Linked DNA regions of Astyanax mexicanus. The protein of the gene in region 1 interacts with the protein of each later gene in a pairwise test. Links are inferred from orthologs where the notes say so. Each region holds a gene or a part of one and is shown in the gene's direction. Other genes may lie near its edges. The genes, in order: afadin- and alpha-actinin-binding protein, ccnh, zgpat and top3b.

Evidence for each region.
Region 2: the proteins of afadin- and alpha-actinin-binding protein (region 1) and ccnh interact in binary tests that used the Homo sapiens proteins (3 or more experiments, as listed by UniProt). The link is inferred for Astyanax mexicanus from reciprocal best matches to the Homo sapiens genes SSX2IP and CCNH.
Region 3: the proteins of afadin- and alpha-actinin-binding protein (region 1) and zgpat interact in binary tests that used the Homo sapiens proteins (3 or more experiments, as listed by UniProt). The two-hybrid records come from large-scale screens. The link is inferred for Astyanax mexicanus from reciprocal best matches to the Homo sapiens genes SSX2IP and ZGPAT.
Region 4: the proteins of afadin- and alpha-actinin-binding protein (region 1) and top3b interact in binary tests that used the Homo sapiens proteins (3 or more experiments, as listed by UniProt). The two-hybrid records come from large-scale screens. The link is inferred for Astyanax mexicanus from reciprocal best matches to the Homo sapiens genes SSX2IP and TOP3B.

What each region holds. Positions count from the first base shown.
Region 1 is NC_064423.1:20,581,949-20,589,226, reverse strand, and holds the start of afadin- and alpha-actinin-binding protein, read left to right. Parts: upstream 1-4,273; 5' UTR 4,274-4,502; intron 4,503-6,442; 5' UTR 6,443-6,520; coding exon 6,521-6,539; intron 6,540-7,278. Other genes in the region: atrial natriuretic peptide receptor 2, read left to right, coding at 696-794, 1,782-1,873, 2,566-2,673. UniProt on the Homo sapiens protein: Belongs to an adhesion system, which plays a role in the organization of homotypic, interneuronal and heterotypic cell-cell adherens junctions (AJs).
Region 2 is NC_064429.1:21,849,706-21,857,670, reverse strand, and holds the start of ccnh (cyclin-H), read left to right. Parts: upstream 1-4,955; 5' UTR 4,956-5,561; intron 5,562-7,429; 5' UTR 7,430-7,440; coding exon 7,441-7,557; intron 7,558-7,965. Other genes in the region: uncharacterized protein LOC103035564, read right to left, coding at 3,736-4,539. UniProt on the Homo sapiens protein: Regulates CDK7, the catalytic subunit of the CDK-activating kinase (CAK) enzymatic complex. CAK activates the cyclin-associated kinases CDK1, CDK2, CDK4 and CDK6 by threonine phosphorylation.
Region 3 is NC_064423.1:17,419,863-17,427,551, forward strand, and holds the start of zgpat (zinc finger CCCH-type with G patch domain-containing protein), read left to right. Parts: upstream 1-4,674; 5' UTR 4,675-4,779; intron 4,780-6,294; 5' UTR 6,295-6,319; coding exon 6,320-6,918; intron 6,919-7,190; coding exon 7,191-7,324; intron 7,325-7,459; coding exon 7,460-7,624; intron 7,625-7,689. Other genes in the region: rtel1 (regulator of telomere elongation helicase 1), read left to right, coding at 558-695, 854-955, 2,245-2,472, 2,644-2,766, 3,145-3,200. UniProt on the Homo sapiens protein: Transcription repressor that specifically binds the 5'-GGAG[GA]A[GA]A-3' consensus sequence. Represses transcription by recruiting the chromatin multiprotein complex NuRD to target promoters.
Region 4 is NC_064429.1:30,942,080-30,949,448, forward strand, and holds the start of top3b (DNA topoisomerase 3-beta-1), read left to right. Parts: upstream 1-4,358; 5' UTR 4,359-4,533; coding exon 4,534-4,603; intron 4,604-7,369. UniProt on the Homo sapiens protein: Releases the supercoiling and torsional tension of DNA introduced during the DNA replication and transcription by transiently cleaving and rejoining one strand of the DNA duplex.

The sequences.
Region 1 (7,278 bases):
CTTGATTTCCAAATGAAAGGTAAAATTTACTTTTATGGAGATGCGGATTTCATTTTCCAGCAGAACTTGGCGCACTGCCCACACTGCCAAAAGTATCAATTGGTCTTTTATAATATTCTAATTTTCTGAGATGCACCTGTATAACTGTTATCCAAAGCTTACCAGTTTTGGCAATTTTACTGCCACTACTTCAAGAGAAATGCTGGATGCACCAAGTGGTGCATCCCCAGTTTTTGTGGCAAAGCAAGAACGCATGAAATGTGTTCTTGATTATTGGAACACAACTTGGGCACTGGAAGGGAAGGTCAGACTAGAAACAGGACACCTAGAAGAGGTGTGTTTGAGTATGGAAATACAAAACGTCTCCACGACTGACTTTGGGACCAGTGAAGCAGAGGATGCCTTGTAAATTGGCTAACAATTGTCAATATTTTTTAAAGAAAGATACAAATTAATAGCTGGTTTCTTTACATACAGAGCTATAGTCACAATACTGTTCAAATGACTTTTCTGCTACTTGCCTCATTTTTTCTGACAAATTTACTCTGCATTATGAGGATGCATTATGATCCTCTGCAACTCAGGATGTAAAACTAGTTTTACGTTTGTTTGTCTTATCTGTTGCAAGGCAGAAAAATGTATTTACTTTGACTCATGGTATATAAGGCAATGTTTGTGTCTGGTGGCTGGTTTAGGTCCTGTGGTGGCTGGAGTGGTCGGCACTAAAATGCCACGTTACTGTTTGTTTGGAGACACTGTGAACACAGCATCCCGCATGGAGTCTACCAGTGAAGGTACGTGAGTGAAGGGTGGCCTGTAAACACTAGGTTAATGATCAGCTCAGATGACTGCTGCTATGTTTGCCTTTGATAAGAAATGGTTTTGGAGACAGAATGACGGCATTAAATGAGGTTTACTTATTTGGTCACATCAAATACTGTCAATGACATTTACCAAGCCCTTGATAGTATATGTGTAATGCTTTTAATTGCACGTGACCACAAGATATTCTCAATAATATTAGTAACCTTGTTTTTGTGTTAGTTCCATTCCATTACATTTACAGTACTGTACAAAAGTCAGGCAAATATTCATATTGAATTTTACAGTCAAAAGTTCATATTCTTAAGGGAATTAGATATAAGCCATCTGTTTGCAAGGATAGTAGAATTCAAAAGAAAACCATTTAAAATGGGACTCCTAACAACCATGCAAGACCTGGTATCAATCTCCATCAAACAGCACTGAAAGCTTTCATCACTAGACAGAGAGACAGAGGAGGAAAACAAGCTCCACTTTCGCTTCTGATCTGAAAACATCCACAGGTGTTTCTATTCGTTGCTCAATTGTGAGAAGATGAAAGTATGTGGAGTTGACCAAGAAGGTCAAAGTGATAAAAACAAACAGACAAAAGAGAATAAGAACAATTGAAGTCCTCAGAGCAATGGATTGACCATCCAGGAGTCCAGACCTTGACATTATTAAATATGTTTGGGAAGCACAAAATGCAACAACTTCTGTAACTGATTTTTGTTTTTTGATTTTCTGATTTTGATTTTTGATTTTCTGCTGCTGCAATAAACCTAAAGTGTGGACACGATAAATTTAACTTATATTTTGAAAGGCTTATCTGTAATTTCTTTAATTAAAAAACAAAATGTGGTCTTTCTACATGGCATTATACATTATCCTAAATATATATTTGGTACTTGCTTAAGTGGAACATAGCACCTAATGTTTTACAGTATTACAATTTTAAATGCCATATTATCTTCTGGCAGCTTTAAAGATTCAGTGCAGTGAATCCACAGCTGATCTCCTCCACACTCTTGGGGGATACGTTCTGCTCTGTCGTGGCAGTCTAAATGTGAAGGTAAGATTGCTTACATCATTTGCAAACAGTGAAAGTGAAACTTAATTTAAGACATTATGTGCTACTAAAAGCAATGGAGCAAATATTTACAAATGTTACACTACATTACAGTTACTAGGATTGTTTGAGAATAGATGCACATAATTTTTTTAGGATTCCTTTTTGGGATCATTTTTGGGGCAGGATTTTGTAGCTGACTCACTGTGGTTGCTATAGATAACTGACCTTTTCTCATGGAATGCGCCCTTTCAGAGATTGACAAGATAATTTACATGGTAACCCCTTTTAAACCTCACAGCCTTTACGTAAAATGTTGCGCATAAATTATGCAGCTATTCACTATGCCCTTACTATGTATACAAGTAACTGAGTAAAAAAAAACATTCTCAAAATGTATCATAATTATTTTCAGCTGATCTCCCTGCATATCCTAGAAATTAATTGATTGTCCAGTAGAGAACATACGAAAGATGACAAGGGTCCCAAGAGAGAATGCTGTTGGGCCTAGCACAGCTGTGCTATGTCTCAATTAGAGCTTGGTCTCAGCTGGCTTCTGGACAGTGTCTTCTACCTCCTCATTCATTATTCAGAGACAAATAGAATCCCCCTCTCTGAATTTTAATGGCGATGTTCACGAACAGAGACACGACAAGGGAAGATTTACTGCTTGTCTGTAACCGTTTGTCTTACAGGGCAAAGGTGAGATGACAACTTGGTGGCTGGAGACTAAAAAAAGCCCTATGGATCATTTCCTTCAAGATGAAGAGCCACAGTGTGGTCCTGTCCCAGTTAGCAGCTAACACCACTGTCTAGAGAATATGCCTACCTTCCTGTCCTGATCGTTGTATTGATAAGTGTATCATGCAAAATGAAATCTAACATCGCAACATTGGCAAAATAATTGCTTTTTCGGACGCTATTCATTCTGTGATGTGGCATAAATTATTGTGCATTTGTATTTATTATGCTTTTATTGTTACCTTCTGAAATTATGCATAGCTCAAGATTAATCACTCCAGGATTTCAAGACTTGCTGATGTAATTTGTAAATATCTGTGTTTAATAATTAATAAACTGTGTATTATGTGAATTCCGTTTTACGAATAACAGAGAATTAAATAACATTAAATGCATTTAGATTTTTGACTCATAAAAGCCTGACACATTAATTCAATTTATCGGTCTATTACTTAAGCTTTGTGTTACATACAATAACATACACACAAAAGGCCAAAATGTATCCAGATTCCACCTCTAATGATTGAATTCAGCTACTATTCCTGACAAATAGGTTCAGCTTGTATATTATCCATTAAAACGCTCTGTCTGTGGAATAGGATGCCTAAGGTCAGAAAGGTGTCAGTTAGACAGGGGTAAAACCCACCAGCATTGGACTGTGGGGCAGTGCAGCTACATTCTCTGGACTGTTGAAACTTCATTCAATCCATTTGGGATGATTCAGAGTTAAGTTTATGATTCAGAAAGTTTGCAATCAAATCCTCTCCCTGCTGTTAAACTGAAAAATCTTGTCCGATGAGCGGTGTACAATTTACATTTCTATCAATATTTGTATATATTTAGCAATAACGTTTTATTATTTTCTATTATTATAACTACTTTTTTAAAAATAGTATTATATGAATTCATATGATATACCTGTGTATAAACTTGCCCATCTCAGGCTATTTTTTTAAAAAGATTTATTTATAATTTATTTCTAGTTCCCATTTTCTCCCCTATTTAGCTAGGCTGATTGTCCCACCCATTTAGCTGCTAATCAGCTGTATATTCCTCATCACCAGTGATGCCACAACACAAGGTGCCTGAAGACTAGCACATGCCTCCGTTCTCCGTAAGCCACTGGCTCTTTTTGAACTGATGTTGCATTTCGAACAGCTGCTGATGTAGCATTGCCAAAAAGCATCATAGCGTGCCCAGAGAAAATCTCTGGAAAAAAATAAGAGACCACTTGAAAGGTATGAGTTTCTTTGATTTTTTTTCTTTGAATGCTCTTAATGACAATATTTGTATTTGGAATCAGGGAGAAATGTTGTCTGTAGTTTATACATATAAAACATTTTACTTAAACATATACCTATAAATAGCAAAATCAGAGGAACTTATTTAGAAACTGAGGTAGTCTCTTATTTTTTTCCAGAACTGTATATGTTAAATAATATATGAAAATATTCATATATATTTTGTTAATCAATCATTGACTATACACTTTATTATAGACACATTGCACTGATTTATTACAGATTTATATTTATATATTCTGTATACAAAGCCTTTTTTGCCATCCAAAGCCCGCATCGAAGCTCATTGGTTGACGCTTGGGTTATACGAGGTAAGCGGCCAATCAGGTGGCCGCTGTTCGTTGCCTGACAACGCAATGCTTGTCGCTGCTTGTCCTCGTTTTGCAGCTGAAACTGGCACTCTGTAGAAGAGCCAGAACTGCAGCACCTCCAGCTGGAGCTACAGATACAGTTTAATGTTATTACCGGGTACAAAATCAGCACAGCGTTTAAAGGCGGTTCACCATTTTTCTAAGGCGTTTCTTTAAAACCTCTGTCGACGTGGAATACCCCAGATGCCCTGGTGATGCTCTTCGTTGCTAAAAAGACAAGTAAGTGAGCCTCGTCCTCTCAGCCAGGCACGGATTTATATGTAGCTGCGCATGTGTCCTGAATGTAGCCGTGAGTGTGCTCAGATTATACAGTTAAACATGCTTAAAAGAGTACCACGCACAACCTGACAGTTCCTGTAGCCTCGTTCACTGGATTCTGGACACATATTTACTGCCGGTTTTAGCGCAGTCAGTCTGAAGAGATGGCCAGGTCTCATAACATTTAGCCTGCTACTACAACCAGTTGGATAACGGTACTATTAGCGCTTGATTATATTTTGAACTATATGTACAAACGTTACAGTAATCGTTATAAACGTGTTATTTGTGCTGATGTCATTCATATATTATAGGCCTGCTTTAGTTAGACTGATTATACAGCTCTGTAAAAAATGATGAGTTTCCTCTGGAAATATAATCTAGAGGAAGATGGATGATCACAAGCCAAATCAAGCTGAACTGCATATATTTTTGCACCAGGAGTGGCATGAAGTTATCCAAAAGCAGTGTGTAAGACTGGTGAAGTAGAACATGCCAAAATGCATAAAACTGTAATTAAAACCAGTTTTTTTCCACCAAATATTGATGTCTGAACTCCTAAAACTTTATTAATATGAACTTGTTTTCTTTACAAGTCTGAAAGCTCTGCATCTTTTTTTGTTATTTCAGCCATTTCTCATTTTCTACAAATAAATGCTCTAAATGACTATTTTATTTAGAATTTGGAAAAAATGTTGCCCATAGTTTATAGAATAAAACAACAATGTTTATTTGAATCAAACATATACCTATAAATAACAAAGTCATAGAAACTGATTCAGAAACTTAAGTGGTCTTTTATTTTTTTCCAGAGCTGTATGTTACTGTAAAGCAAGTGTTATAGTTAAATACTAGGGGTTGGCGATATGTACCTAAAATAATATAACAATATTTCAGGGTATTTTTTGCGATAATGATATACAACATTAAATACAAAAATAAAGATAAATAAAAAAACATGCTGCAACAAAATATGAATGATAAGATACATGTAATATGCCACTCCCCTAACTAAGATTTTTACAACATTGTAACATTGTAAGTCATTTGTCCAACATCCTATTTATCCAGGATTGAAGTAAAATAAAAGATACTGGAAAGATACACTGCCAAAAAAAGTTAGACCTGACCAACTGCTGCAACCCCAGATCATTTACTTAGTTAAATCTAGGTGGCAACTTTTTTTGGCCAGGCAGTGTATAATCTGTTTCTAATAGATATTTAAAGGTAAATGAGAAGAGTGTGATCACAATATTTCAGGGTGTTTTTGTGCTACCAGTATTTAAGATTGTTGGTGAAATTCTTGCATACGATAGGATATGGCAAACCCATTTTAAATACATTTGGCGGGTGTGTGATGGAATTCATCTGCCGGCTGCAACTAAGCTTTGTTCTTCAAACTAGCTCTCAAATGATTAATTACTTTCTTCAAAATGAAGCATCCTTCCAAGCATCAAAGAATGTTAAAGACGTCCCCAGTATACTAAAATTGCATCATGGGAACTACAGCTAGGGTAAAGCCTGCAAAAGTATGAAAAATAACAGTGTTCTGCACATGTCTACTATGTATACTATTTTTTCAACATGGCTGAATATATGAAAAACATGCTTTTAGAACACTTGGTTCAGAATTTGATATAATTAGTCTGACTAAAGTAGGCCTATGTAGGTTCCTTAAAGTATGTACAGACAGTTATACAATAACAAATTCAGGATAAACTCTTTTTAATATCCTTGGTTTCAGAGGAAAAAATAACTTTTGTCCTGTTAGTGCATGTATGTATGTATGTATTATTATACATTATTAAGATTGTGGAATTATGTTAGATTGCTGGATTTATGTTAGCAATGGAGTGATGGAGTAACGTGAAAAGCCCTGCTAACATGCTCTTTGTTTTCAGGGTACCTGTGCAGGTGTTTGCCGCTAAATAACTAATCCACACAGTATTAGCTCCTTGGATATATGGAAGCCTGGAAAGATGCCAGAGTCATCATATGGTGAAACTGTTTTATAATATATGTAATACTATGATTTGTATGAAAGTATTATGCTTAAAAACATATTTAATTATTTCACAGAAGCACAGTATTAACTGCACTTATTAAAATGGCACTTTGAGGATTCTTTAGTAAAGGAAATAATTACTAGGTTAATATAGGTAAAAATAGGTTATTAATAGGTTAATCGTTTGAGCGAGGGTCCACAGCATTATCTGTGTACCAGGAATATGTCCTATAAGACATGACTACTCACAGTGGATAATGGGTTAAAATGATCCAAATCGCATCAACAATTAACACAGAAGGCTCTGAATATCCTGCTGCTTAAATCAGCATTCTTTAGCTTCCATGAGGCATGGCAAAAGTTTTAAAACACTTCATAGGTAAATGGTAAGATTAAAGATATGAATGAGTTGATTTGTGTATATTTTTAAACTCATTGTTTTATGCCAGAGCTTCATACTGACATTCCATACAGTGTATGTATGACTCTTTTGCTCTACATAGACATAGTCTCATGTGTAAAGGGAATAAATTAAGGAACCAGAAATAACACTGGAGTACTATTTTAAGTTCATGTGTCTCTACTAACCTCGATAAAACTTAGCATGCTCATTGTCATCTTTGTCATGATATTTACCCCCACACAAAACCATGACTAAGACTGTATTTTTACCAAGCAAAATAATTCCAGAATTGTTTGTACCACAGTTATTTCTGTTTTTTTTTGTGTGTT
Region 2 (7,965 bases), on another chromosome or scaffold:
AAGTCCTGCTGGACAATGAAATCCGCATCCACATCCACATAAAAGTTGTCAGTAGAGGAATAATAACAGTTAATAAAGATCACTCTGTGTGTAATACATCTATATAATTTAGTTTCACATTTTGAACAGAATTGCTGAAATAAAGTAACATTTCAATGACATTCAAGAAAAAGACAGAGGCTGTAAAAAGTTGAACATTCATGTTTTCTGCCGATTTTAAAACATAAAAAAAAACAGTCATATCAAAACGTGTCTAACAGTATCCAGTAATATATGTTGCTATGTTCTCGACACATTTGTCCAGATCAGTCATGTAAGACACAAAGGCACAGTATGTATAAGCAGCTAAAACAAACACTCATTCTGTGAAGTTTCTTTTCATATCATTTTCCCCTCAAGACTGATTTATATAAAAATATAAAATGCATAAAGTCATTTAAAATTAATGTGATGTGTGTGAGAACTAAAAACTACAACCAATCATTCATTCACTAAAACTAGTCTAAAAACAGGAAAAAAAAAGATAATAGTAATACTTTCAAACTGAAGACAACAGTGACCTCTAGTGACTATGACTTAGTAGTGTTACACATCCCACCTCATCCATATACCCTAAACTAGAGCAGCAAGCAGTATGGAATAGCAGACTGTTGGGCCCAAAAAACAAGGAATGTTCTGAAAATGCCGTAAAACGCAACACAAATCTCCAAAATAGTTCGAACTGATGTCCACAGATGACTTGAAAAGGGTCCATCAAAGCTTTAACCTGTACATACTAGTGTTACTTACAATATTCAGTCCATATTTTGTCATGGAAATCCAAAAAGAAGCATTCAAAGTTGACCCAAAGTGTCCTCATAAAGTAAAGACGAAACAGGCTCCTCCAACAATAGACAGACAGGGCAATAAACAGTTACATTAGAAAAAAACTTAATACATTTGCAAAAATCATCCAGAAAGAGGAGGACTGCAATACAGTACTGTAAAAGTGAATTTATGAATTTTTGACAGAGTATCAAAAGTTTAAAAAATATGTAGACGTATACATTCAAGCTTTACGTGTGTTCTGTAAACCAAGGCCCATGAACATCAAGCATCGAGTTTACTAGCTCAAACACATAGTTAACACAAGGTTCAAGCTACATTTTAGCATTTTTTTTTTCAAATGCCATTCGCTTTTTGAAGACTACAAATTAAAAGCCTAAATTTGGCTTGGTTGCTAAAAAAAAAAAAAAAAAAAAAGGTTTAGGTTTGATCTGAGAGTCTGCAGGGTGATCACAGATGCCTCAATTCCCAACGACAAGACAACAGGTTGTGTAGTATAAATAGTACATCAGATTCAATGATACAATGATCTGATGACCCTGAAAGTATTGTAGTGTATTTACGGCCAAACCATACCAATCAATAAATGGGTAAATTAAATTGAACTGAACATGCTTGAGCTGGAAAAACACTGTGATAGAATTCTGCCCTCAATAACACCCCCTGCTGTAAACCTAAAAAAGCAAAAAAAAAAAGTAATTATTTGTCATCTCGTCATCTGTAGATGATGATCAGACCACTTTAGCCATTTTGTAGTGGACATCATGGCCTTATTAGAAACTCAAAGTGGAATCTAGTGGTATTTAGAGTTCTTTAAGTTATCGATACTTATCAATCCATACAGAAGCGTTTTTGTAAGGGATATACGTGTAAAGAACCTTTTAAAAAAGTTTCAAGTAGTGGGATTTTTTTTACCCTTTATCAAACCAAAAATTATATATCACTTGAAATTCCCTTAGAAGCACCATTATTTTGGGTCAGTGTAACGTTTATTGTTTTTTTTTCCTGAGTGTTTGAGGCTAAATTCAAAAATAGAAAATTAGATTTAACAAACTTTTTTTTAATGTGGTGCACTGATCAAGAAATGTATAAATTTTTCCACATTTAGTTTTTTAATATCTGTACCTCACAAATGAAAAAAAATGTATCTTTATTTTCAGATTTTTCCATTTTCGCATTTTACAAGTTGGATTATACCATCAGGATTACAAGATACAAAAATGGACAAATCTGAGGAAAAAAAATTCAGAAAGATTCACTTAGAATTTTTCTTGAAAATCCATTTGCGCAAGACTGAAATTAAAAACTAGAAATATATATAAAAACCCATTTCTTCTTTACTCTACTGAATGAAAAAGAAAAAAAAAGTTTTACGCCCAATTTTCGAATTTAGCTTGATACAGTCAGACAATTCAACTGGTAAACGTTACACTAACCATTTTGAGCTTAAAGCAACTTGTTTAGCAATGGAAAGTGTAAATGGCATTGAATTATTCTTATTGAGAGAAACTGCTTACATCCAGAATTTCTAATATGCACAATATGTCAATCCTAGAATCAAGCAAGACTTCCAAGATATATAATCAAAAGTAGCATAGAAAGAGTTAATATGGTATGTATCACACAACAGCTAAACCACAGCTGGTATTTAGCTAAATTTTTTAGCAAATAATCTGTTTAGAAGTGTTTAAGCAGGAAAAACTCTACTGAACTTTGGCCCTTGGTTTCCCACCCATGCTCTAAACTGGCTAAGAAACTGTAGCATGTTAGCCTAAAGCTGTATCTGCAGCTAGCATTGCACTCACTGAAATAATTGTAGTTAGAGTTCTATAGAACCATGACATTTTTACACTACAGTAAGTACGCACAATGAACAGTACTGCCTGATATACACTGTAAAAAAAGATAAAATAGCAGCAGGCTAGGAGTTGCTGAAAAGATTGGCCTGAAAACCTCTCTCAAAAATCAGCCTCCAGCCACACACAATCTACCATTGGTCCTCTGCCTCTCTATTTCAAACTGCTACAGGTGATGATGAAATACAGATCTCCACTAATGTCATATCTTAGTGTTTTGCTCATCCATTTAGATCGTGTTTACATTTCGAGATACAAGGTACAAAAATATATATATAATATAATCTGCTTTGACCCACAACACCCATGCTGCCCCACTACTTAACCCATATATAGGCAGGAACCAATGTAAACTGCATTAAAACTGCACTAGATCTTAATGCGATGATCTAAATTAAATGAGATGTTCTGAAGCTCTGTTTTTCAGCCCTGTGAGTGAGCTTTCAACACCAGGGTTTCTTTAACCATAAAACTCCTTTGTTATTATTCAGCAGTCTTGTAAACCGTGGACCTTTTAAAATCATCTAAATTAGACTTATAGGGGCTCATTTAAACTGATTTGGCCAAAAAAAATGCCATACTGTGCCCCTATTTAACGCATAAAAAAGGGGAGGAATCAAAATCCTGACCTCAAAGTAAAATCTGGACTGGATCTCAACAAATGATCATCAATCCACCATCAGCTGGTGTTGACGAAGTCATGAAATCTCAGGGCACATCGGTTCCCATTCACTCAAGCCAGGAACTGGCCTGTCTCTCTCAAAAGCTAGTATAGACCTTTAAAAAAACATCAGGATTTGGCATATATGAACTTATTTAATCTGCTTTGGCCAAAAACTCTTATACTGTGCCCCTATTTAGCCCATATATAAGGCAGGAATCAATACAATCTTGACCTCAAAGTAAAATCTAGACTGGATCTCAACAAATGATGATCATCATTCCAAATCCATAACCCCAACAGATGGTGTTGACAAGATCTTCTTTACAAAGCCATTAAGTCATGAAACCATAAAGCCGTGAAACCACAGGACCCACAGCCCCCCCATCCCACTCAGGCCTGGAAACTGTCTCGACTCCCCTGAGCCAGGGACCTCTTCACAACATTAGCCACCTCCTTCTCGAACTGGTGGAGCAGCTTAAAGTCACAGAAGCCTCTGTACAACAGGCCGGTGGCTAGAGTCTGCATGGCCTCCTTCATCTGGTGCAGGGAAGGCACTGTGATGGTCTTCATGCCCCCGTTGATCTCAGCAGTGACCACGGTGGGATCGGCGGGCTCGAGTTTCACTGAGAGCAGCTCGCTTCGCTCCACTTGGCCCTCATACTTTACCACCACTTGCATTTCCTCTTTTTGCTGCTGGTTCAGCTGCAGGGGGTTATAGAGGGGGTTCTGCTGGAGGTTCTGTAGGAGGTTTGCTGCACTGCCCGGCTGAGGTCTCTCCGTCTGGTTCTGTTCTTCTAGCTGAACGTGGTACAGCTCCCTCACAGTCTTCTCCCTCCTCTTAAAGCCTCGGTACCAGTTCGGACTCGCCCTGAACTGCGTCAGCCCCATCCGCGCCGCCAGCTCCATGGCCCTCCTGTGGATCAAAAGGTCGGACGGCGCGGCGCCCCGCCTCCTCATCGCGTCGATCCAGCGCCACAGCGCGGCCTCCAGCCTCGGCACCTTCCCGCAGCGGACGTGGTGCGGTTCTCCCCTCATTATAATGTTCCTGTTGCGGAGGATCGTCCACAGCACGGACTGGGTGATGTTCAGGCGCATCGCCGCCTTTTTCTGGCTCATGTTGGGGAGCCGGTCGTACATTTCCAGCAGTCTGCGCTTATCCTCAATCGAGTACTTTCTCCGTACTTTCTCCGCCATGCTTGTTTACCCACGCACGAACGATGAATGAGTGGCGAAATATGCGCATGCGCAGCTTTAACCGCTTAAAAGTCCCTTCTAGTGTAGACTTTTAAAAGTGCGGGAAAATGAATTAGGAAAGATCAGGTTTGCTTTCCTGTACAAATACTGTGCATAATAATAACAAAACACAAAATATTATTATTATTATTATTATTATTATTATTAGTAGTAGTAGTAGTTGTAGTATGTTTCCAAAAAAAAACAATCTTAAATTAATCTAATCTAATAATGTATTATTATTATTGTCAATACTATAATTATTGTTTTTATTATTATTATTATTATTATTATTATTATTATTATTAGTAGTAGTAGTAGTAGTAGTAGTAGTAGTAGTAGTAGTAGTATACTCTGTGTACTGTGTAGATCTGGTCTAATTTCTGTTTTATTTTAACAGAAATTAAATGTTGACATCAGCAGATATGTAACCACATCTTCCCTGGCCTATTTGTTTACTTACCTATTTGTCAGGTTTGTTGAACGAGCACATAATTCCACACTTTGAATAATTTCAGAAATAGAAACAGAACGCCCGTGTCAGCATTAAAACTACTTAAACAAACCACACGTGTTATTCCATTTAATGTCACCTCACTCATTACTGCCACCTGTTGCAATAACACAGTTCCTGTTATTTTCTTTTTTTAAATTTCTTTATTTCCTCGTTTTTCTTCTTCTCTTCAGTTGTTTTCTTTTTATTCTCATAATAAAGTATTCGTGAACATAAGAACAGGTCAAAACCTTGATGAATATATATTACATATGATATATGTTATATATTTTAAATTTGTGTATAATTTAAACACTGCAGTGGTCGGATATTGTGCGGTAGGTGGCGGTAACTGTGTGTAGATGATCTTCAGTCCGCGGAGGAAGAAGGAGTGAACTGGCTGTGTTTTATTTTCAGCACTGCTCTGTGTTTTTGGGTTTTTGGATCAGATGAGCTCTAAACTCTGACTTCAGGCCCTGTTTAAACTCAGGTAAGAGAGATCAGCTGCTTTCTGTGCTGTCTGTTGCATAATTCTGTCCTTTAAATGAAAGTAAATAAAGGATTTATTGGGGAATTAGATATTAACTACCACTGTTTAGCTCTCACCATGATGCTGAACACAATATATAACCTAGCTTATGTTACTGTTCTGGTTTAATAAGGCATTTTAACAGACTGTAGTGCTAGTTTATTATAGATAGTTGATAGTGTATTATTAATTCATGATAAATGTTGATGCAGATGCTATATTAAGGGAGTATCATAAGAATGTTTCTATCACTTAACGTTAGTTAGCTAGCGTTAGTTTCTATGCCCGGTTAAAACACATTCACACCCCTTAACAATCCCTTAAGTGGCGCATTGAAGTCTCTATATGAAAGCCCGTTCCTGCCACCTGAAATAAAATTAAAAAATCCAGCACAATTTATTTTGAGATAAGTCATTATTTTGGGATAACAAGTGTGTTTATTTTGGGGGAAGCCTTAGTAACGTTAATTCAAAATAAGTCTCTCAAAATAATGAGTTAGTATCTCAAAACAATGAGATGGCAGTTTACTTTATTATTTATTTTATTATTTTAAGTGGCGGGAATGAGCTTCAATACCTTTACGCTCTATTCGCTCAGTAATTATTTAAAAAAAAATTGAATATAGAGAATATAGAAGTGTTTTTGATATGAATGAGTTAAGCTAACCGTAGTTACCCTACACGTATTAGCTAGGTTAACGTTAGTTAGTGTTAATTGTGCCACAAATATGTTAAATTCACAAGTTCAGGAGGAATTAACTCTAACATTAGCTAGCTTAGTCAAACATTAGCTAGCCAAGCTAGCTAGCTAAATAAACTAGGTTAATTATATAACCTAAACCATTAGCCAGCTAGCTAGGTTGGCTAACTAACTGTCCCATATATATTACTGACCCACACCACAGTCGGTGTTTTAGGCTTAGCTAGCTAATCTAGCTAAGTACCCTGCTAAAAAAAAAATCCAGTTAAAAACAGCTAGCTGCTATCAGCTAGCTAGCGCTAATGCTAATATTAAAAACACAGGAACTTCTAGCTTATTTTTGACGTTCATCTACATATAAAATACCCATTTCCTTTTGACCTATATCACCAGAGACTCATTCAGATTTCTGGGTACTTACATAATTAACACAATCACTTACATCAAATCTACAAATAGTTAATAAAATACTGTTCTTCCTCAAACAACTGAAAAATCAGAGTTGGGGAAAAACAAATCTTTTTCAGTTTTACATTGCCATTATTTAAAGCATACTCATCTCAACTATACTCATCTGAACTATAATAGTGTGTTACGGTAATTTGGACATTCATTCATGCAGAAAATTATCAAACAAAGTATGATGGATAAATCATCAAAAATCACAGGGCACACCCTCCCATCCGTTGGCGCCTTGTATTATAGAGGTATCACACAATCAGCAATAAACCTTCTGGAAGACGCTACAGGTCACTGCCAACAAAATCAGTTTACTGTAAACTAAACCAGGTTTAACAGATTGTTTTTCTCTGTATGTATTCGTCAACTCATTGTTTGTGTTTTTGTTGTTTGTTCTGACACAGAGATGTGAGCATGTTATGCTGTAACACATGCGAATTGTGTAATGTGTGGTCATTAATAAAGAATTGAATTGAATAAATTGAATTATATAGAGTCTAGTATGGAGCCCTGGAGGTCTCTGTCACTAGCGACAGAAGAGCGTTTTTTTTTTTTGTTTGTTTACATTGACTTCCATTGAAAGTTTTTTTTTTCTTCTTCAAATGCATTTTTAGAAGGTTTTAATGCAGTATTATTCAAACTAACCACTATTTTTTTTTCTATTTCTACAGAATCTCCTGCTATGTATCACAACAGCTCCCAGAAAAAATACTGGACGTTTGACAATGAAGCACCATTGGAGCAGATGAGGCATGAAGCTAACCAGAAGTATCGCTCAAAAGCCATCAGCCTCAGAAAGGTCAGAAGGTGTTTTAGAGTATCTGGTTACCACAAATACAATACAGTAGCCTAACCCTAACAATGTTTTGTTTTAGCTCAGTCTTTCAGTTTGAGGCTTATTTTAGCCAAAAATCTAATTCTCTAGATGTGCAAAGCTGGTAGAGACAAACCTCAAAACATTTGTAACTGTAATTGCAGTGAAAGGTGGCTCTACTAAGTATTGATTTAGGGGGGTTCAACAAGTATAAATACATTTGCCAGGGGATTGAGGGATTAAAAGCGCCCCAACTTTCAGCTGTAATGAAAAGTAGACCTGTTCTCTGGAATGATTGGGAGTTGGGGATGAGTTGGTGTGCCGATCATCCAACATTCTGACTTCACTAATGTTTTTGTTGCATAATGAATGCAAACAAATTCTTACAGCGAT
Region 3 (7,689 bases), about 3.2 Mb from region 1:
ATAAATCAGCTTAAGTCACACGCTAGACATTATCCTAAAATAATCTGACTAACTCAGAGTGTAGGCGATTTTACTACAGGTGGCTGCAACATCATGAAGTTAAAATTTTGCTAAAGAAAAAAATGACTTGCGATTATTTTAAGAAGGTGACAAAATGTAAATGTAGAATGCATTTTCTATAGAGTTTTTCATGGAATTAAGTATTTGGTGAAAACTTGCCAATAGTGTTTTACACATGGACATATCAGTGTTGTTTCATTCTGTCTTTTATCACTTGGGAAATAGTGGAAAACTTTGTCTACTTGAAGATTGAACTTGATTTATCAAGATACATTTAATTGTAACCCCTGTATTGTGATGCATGTTGTATTTCCAAAAAACGTTTATGCCAATAAACAGGCTTTTTTTTTTGTTTGTTTTTATTTAGCTAGAATGCCATATATTGAGAAAAACAATACAGCTTTCTGTCTTTGTGTTCTTTTATGCATCACACCTTCTAATCTCAATGTTTTCTGATGTTCGTGTTTACATATATTTATTTTTTCCCCTCTCTCTAGGGCTCTACCAGTTTATTCGACCACACCACAAGAAGCAGTTTGATGAGAAGTGTCAGGTGCTTACAGGCCAGGGCTGTGGCTACAAGCATGAGCACTCGCTCTCAAGGGAAGAGAGGGAAACCCTCAGACAACAAACAGGTAGCATGTTGTAACTGTGGCATGGTACCATGCATTATAGTTTTTTTATCTTTTAAACCAAACACATCACATAAAACCAGCAAAAAAAACGTGTAAAACTGATGTGAACCGATGGCTACTACTTCTTCTTTTTTTTTTTCTTTTTTTTTTTTTTACAGTAAAAGCGGAAACTACTGAAAAAGCCACAATCAAAGAACTAGACTCGAGCAAACAACTGAATCAAGGCGGCTCTCATTTGGGAACACACAATTTGTGTGGTGGTATGTACCCAAAATCTGTCTTAAGCTTTGCTACTCATGCACTATGTTAAAAAATAAAAAAATGAACACAAATATTGCAATGCTATTGTTCCGTCTATATCGTTCAGTCCTTTTACAGACTAATGTCGCAAAAAATGCTAATGTTGGTCAAAATAGTTGAACCTATGTTGGTGAGATCTTGTTTATTTTTAGATTAGGGTCCGTATTAATATAACATGCGTTTTGTGTCAGTAGAATAATTCATACAAACTCTGGTAACAATACACTCAAAAATAAAATACGTTTTTGTAATATAAGTATGTTTTCTAAAAGTTTTAAAGATATATAATATATAGTAATTTAGACAGTTTAGACAATTATTTATTTAGCTTTTTCATTAAAGAAGAAACATTAACCACTCCCCAGTAATGGATTAATATGGTCAATGCAGTATATGTAATGTAAATTTTTTTTGGAAAAAAAAAAGTTGCCATAAGGCTGCAGATGTGAAAATGTACAAAACTATTGTCAAAATAGACAATTTACATAAAGAATGAAAGACCAGATTTCACTGAAACACAAACAGACTAACTACTACCAAGAAAACATATATTTTATTCCTTTCTCATCGGTTTTACTTCATTTTTATTGCACAGTGATTTAAGGCATCCTCCGTGTTAATAGTTCCTTGTTCTGTATACTTTTTTTATATTGAAGGCATAAATAAAATGTGATAATTTTAATATCAGAAGTGATAACAAAAGAAAAATTGTACATTGTAAATGTCAATTCTTGGAAGGACACACTTCAAAAAATAAAGAATTACAAAAAAAGAAGTTAACCACTGACATCCGCGTGATCACAACCCTCACACTGTTTAATTTTTAATTTAATTTTAATAAAGGGACTGAAGATACTTTCTGAATGTTCAGCAAATCTTTGTATCTTTTGAATCAAAATAAGTGTATCCTCAGCTTTGAGTCAACCATGCTTTCATTAAATTAATTCTATTATTTAAATTGTCCACCCCTGTCATGCAGCTTGCCATGACAGGGTGAACAAACACATGAATACATGCAAGTAAAAATAAAAAAGTGGCAGAGGTGGGTTTCTGTGTAGTCTGAAGTCTTATAAATATGATAAATAGTTAGAAGATTAAAAGTATATGCCAAAAAACACAAATAATGACCCACACACATATAAATAATAAACTAGTTTGCTGGAATAAGTGTTGTGTCCTCAATTTTCAACCTCTTAAGGTCTAATGGTACTTCTAATGTGGTATTTGCTCTATTTTTCTCCATTTACAGTGGGTGCAGTGAAGGATCAGAAACCACAGAAGCCACAGACGTCAGGAAAAGATGGCCAGTTCAGCGCTACCCTTCTGTCCGACATTAAAAAAGCTATTGGTTCTGAAAAAACCAATCAACTATTTATAGCGTTGCAGACGTACAAGAAAACAAATAATTATGAGCAGATGGTATCAACAGTTGTGGGATTGCTGACAGAGCGGGACGAAGACATTGTCCTTTTAAGACGTGAGTTTTAATCCCATACCCAGGAAAACATTTTGCTGTTTCTTATAATATTATAAATAAATATAATATTTATTTATAAGAAACATACTTATTATAAATAAGTAGAGAAATATGAAAACTTAACTGCTACTTTTGCTGATGATTTTCTTTTTTTTTTCTTTTTTTGTTTAGGGTTATCTGTGTTCATCCCGCCACACCACAGTCAGCAGTTCTCTGAGATGTTAAAGTCTTTGACTGGCAGTGCTTCAGTGACCTGTGAAGAATCAGAAGAAGCTTCCAGTCACCCAGTTCCAGGTAGAATTCAGGGCCTGCATTTAACATACATCACAGCCTAAGATCAGAAAGTCCTTTAAGCACTACTGTTTAAGATTATGGTCGAGTCCTATATCAGCATTCGTACTCGTAGGACTTTAATAAATATGGGCTCAGATGATATTTACACAGATTCCATGGATAAGCACAACATGTATTTGTTAATCCTTATTGATTTTCATGAAGAAATCATTATTCATTTCAAGTCCAAACCTCACATGTTCTGCAGTAGATTCAGCTTTTTGAAAAACAAAACATTGATTTCTTTCATTCTTCATTCTGTCATTATATTTTAAAATATATTTAATAGTGGAAGTATAATGCAATATTGATTTAGTCTTGTTTCATTTGTCTCCACAGCATCACAACTCTCAGCAGGAAAATCACAGAGCAAGATATCATCCTTCTTCTCCTGACCAGGGGAATCCAGCCAGACATACTGATTTGTTTGGTTAAAAGTAGAAATACCATCCGATATGCAGATTAATTAGGATTAAGTGAACTCTTTCTCTATCAGAATGACAAAAAAAAGCAGGATTTGTTTTGGTTGTTTATGTAATGTTTCATTGACCAAAGATGAAAAATTATGTATGATTTATGCTATCTTAACTATTTTAATAAAAACAATGGTATTTGTGTTTTTTCAAATTTATATTAAAATATATATTTGTACTTATTTCTTGTCTCGTTTCCCATTTGTGGATAATATTAACTGTGACAAGGCACATTGAAACTTTCTGAACCTGTGCTGGATAGTTATGTAAAGTAAATTAATGTAATTTACTGTAATGTAATTAGGCTATGCCTGTATACATTATTTGAATAAGTAAAGCAGTACAATAAAGTAAAATGTATTTATTTGCCTGTTTTATACAAGTTTTTATTTATTTAATATAAACTCAATAAGTTTATCTAATGAAAATTGTTTGTGTTATGTTTAGAATATTTTAATAGATACTAGTGTCCAAATAATTAATGACATTATATTAAAGGCAATTGTTATTTTTAGAGTTAAGATAAGGGTTATTTTCATGTAAAATGAGTAGATTAAGCAATTGAGTCTGGTAAAAAAAAAAAAGACAGGATATTAAAAAGCCATAATATCTTTCTATAGTCAAGGCAAGTACATTGTACTTTTTGTTACGTAATGAATGGTTCAAAGGGAGTATTTTTGCATTACCTCAAATACATGGTTTAAATCATTATTCCTTTGTCCAATCCTGCTGTTCATGTTTCTGCTTTTTTTTTAAGTTTCATTTGTCTCCACAGCATTACAACTCTCAGCAGAACAAATAAAGATATTAATAATATACTCTATATCTAGGTAAATGTATGAAAAAAGCATATTATATCCCCAAGGTTCAGGTTCACAGAGCATGTGAGTGACGTCGCTGAGGTAGTGTCTCTGTGGGCGGTCAGAGTTGCCAGGTTCGCGTTTTTTCCTCCAAATTTGGCTTGTTTTAAAAATCTTTTCTCTTTTGAAATTTTAGGGGTGGCGGGGTGCATTTTTTTTGGGGGGGGGGGGGCTACTTAAAAAAATAGCGCAGCCGCCAAAAAAAAAAAAAATTAACAAAAAAAAAAAAGATATCACAGGGCGATGAAAATAAAATATTAAAGAGGAGAGAAGAGAGTTCAGGAGGGGCAAGAACAGTAAAAGTCATTTTTTGCTAATTATGTTACTATTAAATGTTACTAATGTTACAATATTATTAATGACTTTTAGGTAAATAGCAATACTAATAATAAATCCCTTATGAACAAAATACTCAAAGTGTACAAAAGTCGTACACGTATTGTTTTTTGTCATTTACTTCAAACGTGTAACAGACATATTTTGGGCTAGTTTAAGCTTCTGAAGGGCGGGTTTAAGACTGAGTTAGGGCTGCATATTTTCGTTGGACTTGGCAACCCTGGCTGCTACAGAGCCGCACAGGGCAGCTTTAAACTACAGAAACGCAGCAGAGTTTATTCGCTCGGACGTGAACACTATGTAACGTAAGATATAAATACTGAGTGTTTTTTTACTTCTTATTTAATATCTTTTAATGAAGACTAAACTCACCAGGCTGTTAAACAGCTACTATTATCTTAGCTAAGCTAACTGCTAGACAGCCAAATGCTAGCTAGCTACAAGCCGGGTTTGTTATTAGCTTGCTAGGTTTAGCTAGCTCACTGTGTTGAGGTAGTTATATGGCGACTTCCACAGATATTCTTAGTTAATTTTAGATTTAAAAAAACACTTTTGTTCCACCAGTCATGTAGTTGGTTACTCTAATTATTAGCTAGAGTGGTTTTATTGAAGGAAGTGAGCTGGTTAGGTAGTTAGTTAGCTTGATTTGTGGAGAAGGTCAGAAGGCAGAAGCTCGTCAGTAAAAATGTTATTCTGTAATATTTTGGCGAGACTATCTAGCTAATAAAACAAATACTACGTTTTGAATGAGATACATGTACTTAACTATCAAGGACATAGTGCTGCCCATAGGCAACAAACCACATTTTTTGTTTTTCCATCCATTCATGTATCGTTAATATCTGTCTATCTACTTATCTACCCACCCACTCTCTCCCTTTCCTTGTTCTTTATATCTATCCTTATCCCTATCCCCTGTTTAATTTGTCTGTAAGAGACCACGTCAGTTTCTCTGATCTTGGATCTATAGGTAAACGTTTGAGTAAAATAAACACTGTTGTTTTATTCTATAAACTACAGACAACTTTTCTCCCAAATTCCTAATAAAAATAATGTCATTTAGAGCATTTATTTGCAGAAAATGAGAAATGGCTCGAATAACAAAAAAGATGCAGAGATTTCAGACCTCAAATAATGCAAAAAAAAAAAAAACGTTTATTTTCATAAAAGTCCAGAAATCAATATTTGGTGGAATACCCCTGGTTATTAATCACAGTTTTTATGCATCTTGGCATGTTCTCCTCCACCAGTCTTACACACTGCTTTTGGAAAGCTTTTTTCCACTCCTGGTTGCAAAAATTCAAGCAGTTCAGCTTGGTTTAAGAATCAAATAAACTCAGAATTTTTTGCAAGCTGTATTAATATGTGCAAAAATATATAATTGGCTGTTTATATTCTTACTGTTTTTGTAAACTGTTTTTGTTGCCTTTTTAAGTTGTACCACATTAGTTAGATTAAGCTTGATGTAGCAGTGGTTCTTTTCTCTGGTCCTACAGACCACCTTCTCGCCTGCATGTTTTGGGAGCTTCCTTGCTCTAAAACTCCTGATTCAAATGAATAGCTTGTCATCATAATTCTAAATCTAAATTTAAGTTTGTTATATCCACAGGGACTTCCATGCTTTCACAAATGATATATTTTCTCCCTAAGAATACAATTAATGGCATAAAGGATTAAATCTGCCTTTCTGTCTCATAACCATAATTACACTTTGCATAACATATACAACTTGTTTTCTCTTATACCCAAGTCAATTACAGAATAAAAATGTTATATAAAAGCTTTTACTGCATTATTCTCTTATTCCTCTTTATCTGCAGGCACCTCCTTTCATAGCTCCCTACCATGGATGAAGGCAACCTGCAACAAGCCATTGAGACCTACAATGCTCAGCTTCAGCAGGTAGAAGCTGCACTTGCTTGTGGTCTGGGTGCTTCAGAGCAGGCAGACCTGCTGAAGTTAAAGGAGGATCTTGTACAACTTATTGAGCTCACTGAATCCAGCTTGATTTCAGTCAAGAAGAGCCAACTTTTTGCCTCAATTGAGGATTCCCAAACAAAGCAGGAAGCGCCAGCAGAAACCCAAGAACTGTCCAAGAAGAATAACAATTTGGATGATGAGTTTGCAGCCTTTTATTCTGGACTTTCTGAAAGTGCTGCGGAGGTAGCACAAAGCCGCGGGCCTGATGATGATGAAGAGGAAGTGGATGATGAGGAGGAGGAGGAGGAAGAAGAAGATGACTACATGAGTGGTACTAAAGTACGAGCACCTTATCGCACCTCTTGGGGAACACTTGAGTACCACAATGCCATGGTAGTGTGCTCAGAGGAACCAGATGGGGATGAGGCTCGAGTGAGAGTCCTTTACCTCTATCCTACACACAAGTCTATAAAGCCCTGCCCTTTCTTTCTGGATGGCAAGTGCCGCTTTATGGATAGCTGCAGGTATGAAAACCTTATTTTTTTAATTAAGTTTAATTATTAGTTTGAGTTTTTCATTTTTAGTTTATATAACCCTGAGATTGGAAATGGCACCAATCTGTTGGTGTTTTGTTTTTCATTGGGTATTTTGCACAGAATTTAGATTCATTCAGGTGGAAGCATATTTGCATGTGTTATTGTACTGGATTGGTTTTGTGATTGACATTTCAGCCATCTCTGGGTAATATGGAAATAATAAGCCGCCTCTGCCTGTCTTTTTGTTTGTTGTCACTCAGGTACTCCCATGGGGAGGTGGTATGTGTGTCCGAGCTGAGGGAATTTCTTGAAGCAGATCTCACACAAATGCAGGCAGGATCTTCGTGTTTGGCCAAGCATGAAGACGGCATCTGGTATCCTGCCAAAATCACAGGTACACCTCCTCAGCCGTTCTGTCAAGATTTATTTCAACGTCAATGATGAACATGGCAGTTTCATGCTTAATTTTTCTGTATAAATTTGTTTTTATTCTTTTAATTTTTTTTTTTACTTAAATACACATTCACAGAGATCGAGGATGGCTTCTACACGGTTAAATTTGATTCCTTGCTGCTAAAGGAAGCTGTCCTTGAGGCTGATAGTGTTATTCCCCCTTTGCGACCGGATGAGTCCTCCTCTTCCTCCTCTGACTCGGAAGATGACTCTGAGGAATGTGAAACAGGTTATGCTAAAGGTTTGTTTCTTTAAGTCTGTGTGGAGAATCCCCCAGGAAAATTTGAAGTTGAAATGCTCACACCA
Region 4 (7,369 bases), on another chromosome or scaffold:
CGCAGGCCATAGATCAGTCACTTACACTAACCATGACTCACCTCCACCTCCACCACCGTGCTCTTTCTCTCTCTTTCTTTCTCCTTCTCTTTCTCACTGCTTTAAATTGGTAGAGAAGCTTAACACATTAACATTTTACAAGGTTTAAATGTTCTTCTTTACTATATTATTTTATTTTAAAAGTGTAGCAGTCAAGCAGTTTGTTGGTTCAGCAAGGTCAGTATAATGCTTTGTCTTGCCATATAAGGCAGAATTCGAAAATAATAAAAGAAAAGTGTAAATTGTTTTATTATTTTCATTATTTTATTTTTATTTAGCAAAAATCTTTAAAAAAAAAATCTTATCCATATTTTAAGACTTCTAGTTTTTATTTCTGTCTTTCACAGTCTGAACTTCAATTAACGTAAATAACTATAAGACGATTTTCTTATTGGCTTGTCCTTTACTGTGTTTTCAGAATGATAATACTTTTACATCAAATACTATATATCTCAGACAAAAACAATCAATATTTTACTAATTTAAACATTGAAACAATTAAGATGAATCCTTACTATTATTCAAATTCAAATTTCATTATGTAACAATGAAAGCACCTGTACTGCTTTGCTGTAGCTTACACATGCTGAATGTATTTAAAAGCTTCAGTGCAGTTCTTTACAGTATTTAGAAGGGCTGGACAACTCATACAGCTCTGTAAAAATTTAAGAGACCACTTAAAAATGATGAGTTTCTTTGATTTTACCAAATTAAAATCCTCTGGAATATAATAAAGATCAAGATGGATGATCACAAGCCATCAAACCAAGCTGGACCGCTTGAATTTTTGCACCAGGAGTGAAGGCATAAAGTTATCCAAAAGCAGTGTGTAAGACTGGTGGAGGAGAACATGATGCCAAGATGCACGAAAACTGTGATTAAAACCAGTGTTATTCCATTAAATATTGATTTCTGTACTCTTAAAACTTGTTTTCTTTGCATTATTTAAGGACTGAAAGCTCTGCATCTTTTTGTTATTTCAACCATTTCCCATTTTCTGTAAATAAATGCTCTAAACGACTTTTTTATTTGAAATTTGGGAGAAATGTTGTACATAGTTAATAGAATAAAACCACAATGGTAATTTTACTCAAACATATGACTATAAAAACTAAATCAGAGAAACTGATTCAGAAACTGAAGTGGTCTCTTAGTTATTTCCAGAGCTATATATAATTTCAGCAGTAATTTTGCAATGTGTGCATGCACAGTAGAGCAGGATGTCCAATGACATTCAAACAAATTATATCATACTCATTATGCTGAAAATTTACTACTTTTCATGATACATGTAAATTAGAGGCAGAATATACAGTATCTGCCTGATATAATTTATGTTACTAATCTTTAATATACAGAGTGCATTTTTATCATTTCATGTTGGATCAGGAGAATCTGATATAAATTTCTGTATTTTCAAAATAGTATAATTTTTTTAGTGTACCAGTCAACAGTTTGGACACACCTCTTTTCATTCAATGCGTTTTCTTACTTTTTATGATTTTTTTACTTTGTAAATTTAATACTGAAGACTACATATTTATTTATATTTATCTTTGAGTTCAGATCTGCGCACCCTTGGTATTTTAATCTCAGTTTCTTCATGAGGGAGAATCACCTGGAATAGTTTTCTCAGCACCTTGAAGGAAGGAGTTCCTGGAGGTGCTGAACAATAGTTGCTGCTTTTCCTTCACGCTGTGAAGCTCCAGCTCATCTCAACTCAATCACCTCAAATCACCATCGCTGATCATCAGGTTTAGATCAGGGGATTAATGTGGAGTAATAACACCTTTTTATTGTTTACTACATAATTCTATATGTGTCCCTTAATTGTTTTCATGTCTTTAATATTAATCTACAATGTGAGAAATAAATAAAAAGCAAGAAAACACATTGAACGAGAGAAGAGGTGTCCACGGTTTTGACTGGTACTGTAGTTACAGCTCTAGAAAAAAAATAAGATACCACTTCAGTTTTTGAATCAGTTTCTCCCATTTAACTGTTCATATTTATATGTTTAAGTATAATGATCATTGTTGTTTTATTCTATAAACTGCAGACAACATTTCCCCCAAATTCCAAATAAAAAATAGTCATTTAGAGCATTTATTTGCAGAAAATGAGAAATGGTCAAATTAACAAAAAAAGATGCAGAGCTTTCAGACCTCAAATAATGCAAAGAAAACAAGTTCATATTCATAAAGTTTTAAGAGTTCAGAAATCAATATTTGGTGGATTAACCCTTGTTTTTAATCACAGTTTTCATGCATCTTGGCATGTTCTCCTCCACCAGTCTTACACACTGCTTTTGGATAACTTTTGCCTTTACTCCTGGTGCAAAAATTCAAGCAGTTCAGCTTGGTTAGAGGACTGTGATCATCCATCTTCCTCTTAATTATATTCCAGAGATTTTTAATTTGGTAAAATCAAAGAAACCCCTCTTTTTTTTTTTTTTTTTTTTGCAGAGCTGTATATTTCAAATTTCCAATTTTGTGCATCACTAATATTTAATTAGGTATTTATTGTAGATACTATTTTTTCCCTGTATTGTGTTTCCTGTTTCTAAAAAACTATATAACTAATTTATATTTCTTCTACTTGAGTCATTTCATTTTCTGATATACAGGCCTACTTTATGAGCCTTTTATTAGCTAAAATACAGAACACAAAAATAATTAATTACTGAATATCTGGAAATAACTTAAGATTATTGACTGAAGTGCATTTAAAAGCAGTAAAAAGGTAAGTATGCCTAAATCAGATAACACTAAAAGTTAACAAATTAAACTACTAGCTGGAACCTCATTAGCAATTTAAGCTAAATTAGGCTAACGATACAACCACGGATTTCACGAGTTTTATAAGTTTGTGCAGATATGTTTAGTTTTAAACTGTTTTACCTGTCGTATAGGTAATAATAGAAACTTAAATTCAATATTAAAATAGATAAATTCAGTGTAATTTAGCAATTTACTTGTTTTATCTAAAAATAACAGTTAACGTTAGCTGACTAGCTAGCTAACCTAGAGAGTATAGTTACTGTTTGTTTAGCTAAGTATCTCAGATTAGCCTTTTACCAACGCCATTTACCAAGTTAAAAGCCACCTTAAGCCACACAGAGCGGCAGGAAAATTAGTGTAAGGTGTTTAAGGTAAAATAAGTGTGTTAAATTGAATTAAATATGTAGTTTATGTGTTTTTTATGTGTTGTGTTTTGCTGTGGTACCCGTGGTTTGCCGACACTCCGCTGTTCAGGTTTCTGAGAGGATATGCAGTCAGCGCTGAGACCGGTACCGTGCTGCCACCTATCGGCGGCAACCCGCCACCGCCACTCTCCGTATAAAGCGGTTTGATTGGCCCCTGATGAGCCTTTATAAATAATAATATAATATTAAAATATTTTACAAAATATCATTGCATGGATAATTCTCAAAAAACTTTGCGACCATTACAATGGACATTACATATTTTAAAGATGTTTTGTTGCACACAACACTAATTGAGACATATTGTTCATCCGTATAGACCATCAACCAGCCAATAAAAAAAGTTTATAAGACAATTAAACAGTAGCCAACTGCACAAAAGAAACACGCAGACATTATGGCATGACAGCTCTGTCTTTGATTATTTTATGTGATTTATAGCTCTTTTTATTTAGGATTAGGGATGGTTTTTAAAATAAACGGTTTATCATTTTCACATATCAAATAAAATGTTAAGCACAGGACTCCAGTGCAAAAGGCATTAAAAAAGCAATAAAATATTTAGTTAATTGGGTTTAATATTTAAATACAGTTTATTTGAGGATATTAGAGACTTCTTTTGGGTTTATCACAGGCAAAAAATAGCATACTTACATTTTTCCATCACTTAATCATAATTCAAGTCTGAAAGGGTTTAACCTTTTAAAACTTTATTATTATTATTATTATTATTATTATTATAGTTTTGCAAATACATACACAACCTGAAGAGAAATAGGAATGATAAAATAATAAACAATTTAATTGTTTTTTGTAAATTAGTCATTTGTACATACTCATTCTACCAATACATTAATTATTATTATTATTATTATTATTATTATTATTATAAAAAAATGGAAAAAAAAATAGTTCAACAAATAATGTAATTATATACATTTTTAAAACATTTGTCCTTACATATTCACAATGAAAGAAAAAAAAATCCATTCCCATCCTTCAGTCTCTTCAGTGGTCTACATTCATACATACTACTCCTACTACTACTATTAAAAACAAAAAAAATGTAATGTGTAATTTAAACAACTCACTAAAACTTTTATTTTGTTACGCCGTAACCCGGATGTTGAAAGTCTTGCTCTGGGCGTCACTAGGCTGCAGTTTGGCTCTTTGTAGAGAATGTTTATTATATTAATATAGTTTATTATTTTTGGGAGAAAGCAGCTGGTTGTGTTCAATTAACAATAATTATATAATTACGCGGGAAAAGCAGCAGCAGCAGCGCAGAGATGAGGACGGTACTGATGGTGGCTGAGAAGCCCTCCCTGGCTCAGTCAATAGCCAAGATCCTTTCTAAAGGTAAAGAAATATAACATAGAGCTATCGCAGTTATTATAGATAGGTTAGATAACGTTAATTATTCAGTATTTTACTCACAGGAAGGGTTTTCTACAGCGGGAAGACACCAGAATCTTCCAGAAAGCGGACTAAGCTTTGTTTGAACATGGTTTAACAGATTTATTTAAAGTTATTTAACTAGCTAGTATTCCTAGTTTTTAACTAAGTTAGCTTGCCAGCTATAACTTCTCTAGTTAGCTAGCTAACTTAACGTTACCCTCTTTTCTAAATACGTTTTACTAAATTATACATTTACGGGCAATATTATATAATGTACAATATATTGTGATACAAAAATATCGTGATATTCTGTGTCTTAAAAGTAGTCTATTATTTACTGTGAAGCTTTAGGTGTAACGTTATTTATTGTATAATTGTTTTAGTTTGCAGTTTATATGCATGCACTAAATGTTCTGCAATATTATTTGCTGAATTATATTATTTTATGCTATATTATTTATTTTACCACATTATGATTATTCTGTTATACTCTTATATACTATATTCCTGAAATGAATTAATTATTTTTCTGTTTTCCTATATCTCCAAGTATATCGTTATCGCAAAAATACCCTGAAATATCGTGATATTATTTTAGAGCCATATCGCCCACCCCTAACGGGCAATATAGTTTATTTATGTTTTTTTTTCCTCATCTTATCAATGACCTAATTACTGCTCTTTACCTGTCAGACCTCTAATTCAACTTAGTCCAGTCATGTTAATCAGAGCTAAAGTCTAAAGCTGTTTCCATGTGGGTCAGCCAGACGTCTCCCTGAGTTTTTTGAAGGTGTAGAAAACAGTACTTACCGCTCTCTGGCTTCATCTGTAATTTCTCTAAAGAAAAAATTAACCAGTTGTTTGCTAAAATAACCTCCTCTTTTTAAAAAAATATATCATTTTTACAATACTCATTTTTTTAGTTAATTTGATTTACACATTTTTTTAGCATTGTTTGACATTTAAAAGTTAATAGCTCTTTTTACATTGTCATGCTATTATTTTTATTTAATTTATCACAATTATCTCTTGAACAATATATTGTCAAGACAAAAAGTTAATCTGACAGGCTTATGTAGTTCTAGTAGTATAAACATTTCTTTATAGATTCTTGATAGTTATGGGAAAAAAAGTACAAAAAAAATAAATAAATCTTATTAAGAATTTGTAATAAACTCTTTATTCATTAATATTTTCAAGCTTTCTGCAGGGTATCACTGAACTGACACAAGCATTCCGGATGGTGTTGATTGTGAAAATAAATAGGTAGATCTGAAACAGCTGGTTGTTGGTGCAGGGAACATGAACAGCAACAGAAATGTCTAATAGTAACTATAAATAATAAATAATTATAATAAGTAATAATAAGCTAACAGGCAGTTTTTATTAGGCTAGTTTTTTCTGGATGTGGCACATATACAGGCAACGGTAATTGACTCAAACTCAATGGAGTAGAACGGGCATCCTGTGTGCTTCCGGAGAACAGGCATTCTAAAAGACAGGGGGACGCTCTCCACGCTGGACGTGCTGTCCACCCCGTTACAGGAGTGAGTTGTGAGGCATCGAGCTTCATAGATGACCTGAGGCACCCGGTTCACGTCTGTATTCACTTCCCTATAAATCAAAAACACAAAACAGTAGAAGCAGTCAGAGTGTTTTATACTGCATTATACTGTATGTCCAATAGTTTGTGGACACTCCTTCTAGTGAATGCATTCAGCTCTATGGTGGATCTTGGATTTTTCTGGGGCCACAATATTTATAGAGGGGCCAAGTATTATTTCATCAGTCACATCATGTTCAAACACTTATTTTAAAAAATCTATGGAGTTAATTTTGTGCCAAAAGATTTACATAAAAAAATAAATTAAAAAGTGTATTCTGCAAATTCAAAACATAAAAATATATTTCTAAATATAATTGGTTACTTTATTAGTCTTTGCAGTCATTTGAAAGTTATTTGTGTTTGAATTTTGACAGTTTTTGCTTTTATTTTTGTGTTTTTGTGGAATTTGCAGATAATGTCTTCTGCTTCATTTTTTGCTCATATATATATATATATATATATATACATATATATATATATATATGTATATATATATATATATATAATCTACTATTTTAATTTTAAAATATTTTTGAGTAAAACATTCAGCACAAAATTAGCTCCATAAAATTTGCTTCCCAATTTTACAGAATATTTTTCTGTGCATAAAACAAATGAGTGACAGGACAGGGACCACTATAGGGGACCAATCACCTCTAGTGATTCAGCTACTTTAAGATGCGCAAATTGCTCACACAGACATACACTTTTGAGATGCTGACGATAGAATAGAATCTCTAGAGCAGATAAACATGAACCATGAGCCAGGCGTTGGCTAGAGTGTGTAATGCCTACAGCATTGATCTGTGAAGCAGTGGAACTGTGTTCGAGTGGGTGAAACTGGAGGGAAAGTGCACTAGTGTTGCACTGCTCACTATTTACTATATTCTGTGCATCCCTACTCTAAAAGTGGTTGTACAAGCTACTGTATCTATAATTATGTTACAGAATTTATTAACCAGTATGTTTTAGGGATAAGATTAAAAATGCATAGCTAGCAGCTAATAAAGTCAGACTGTAATTCTAATACTCACACATATTCCCATGCAGCCAGGCTGCGCTCATTGAGTCTGTTGGGCTGGTAGGTAACTTCAGCATCGTATTTCTCCAGACTGTTCAGA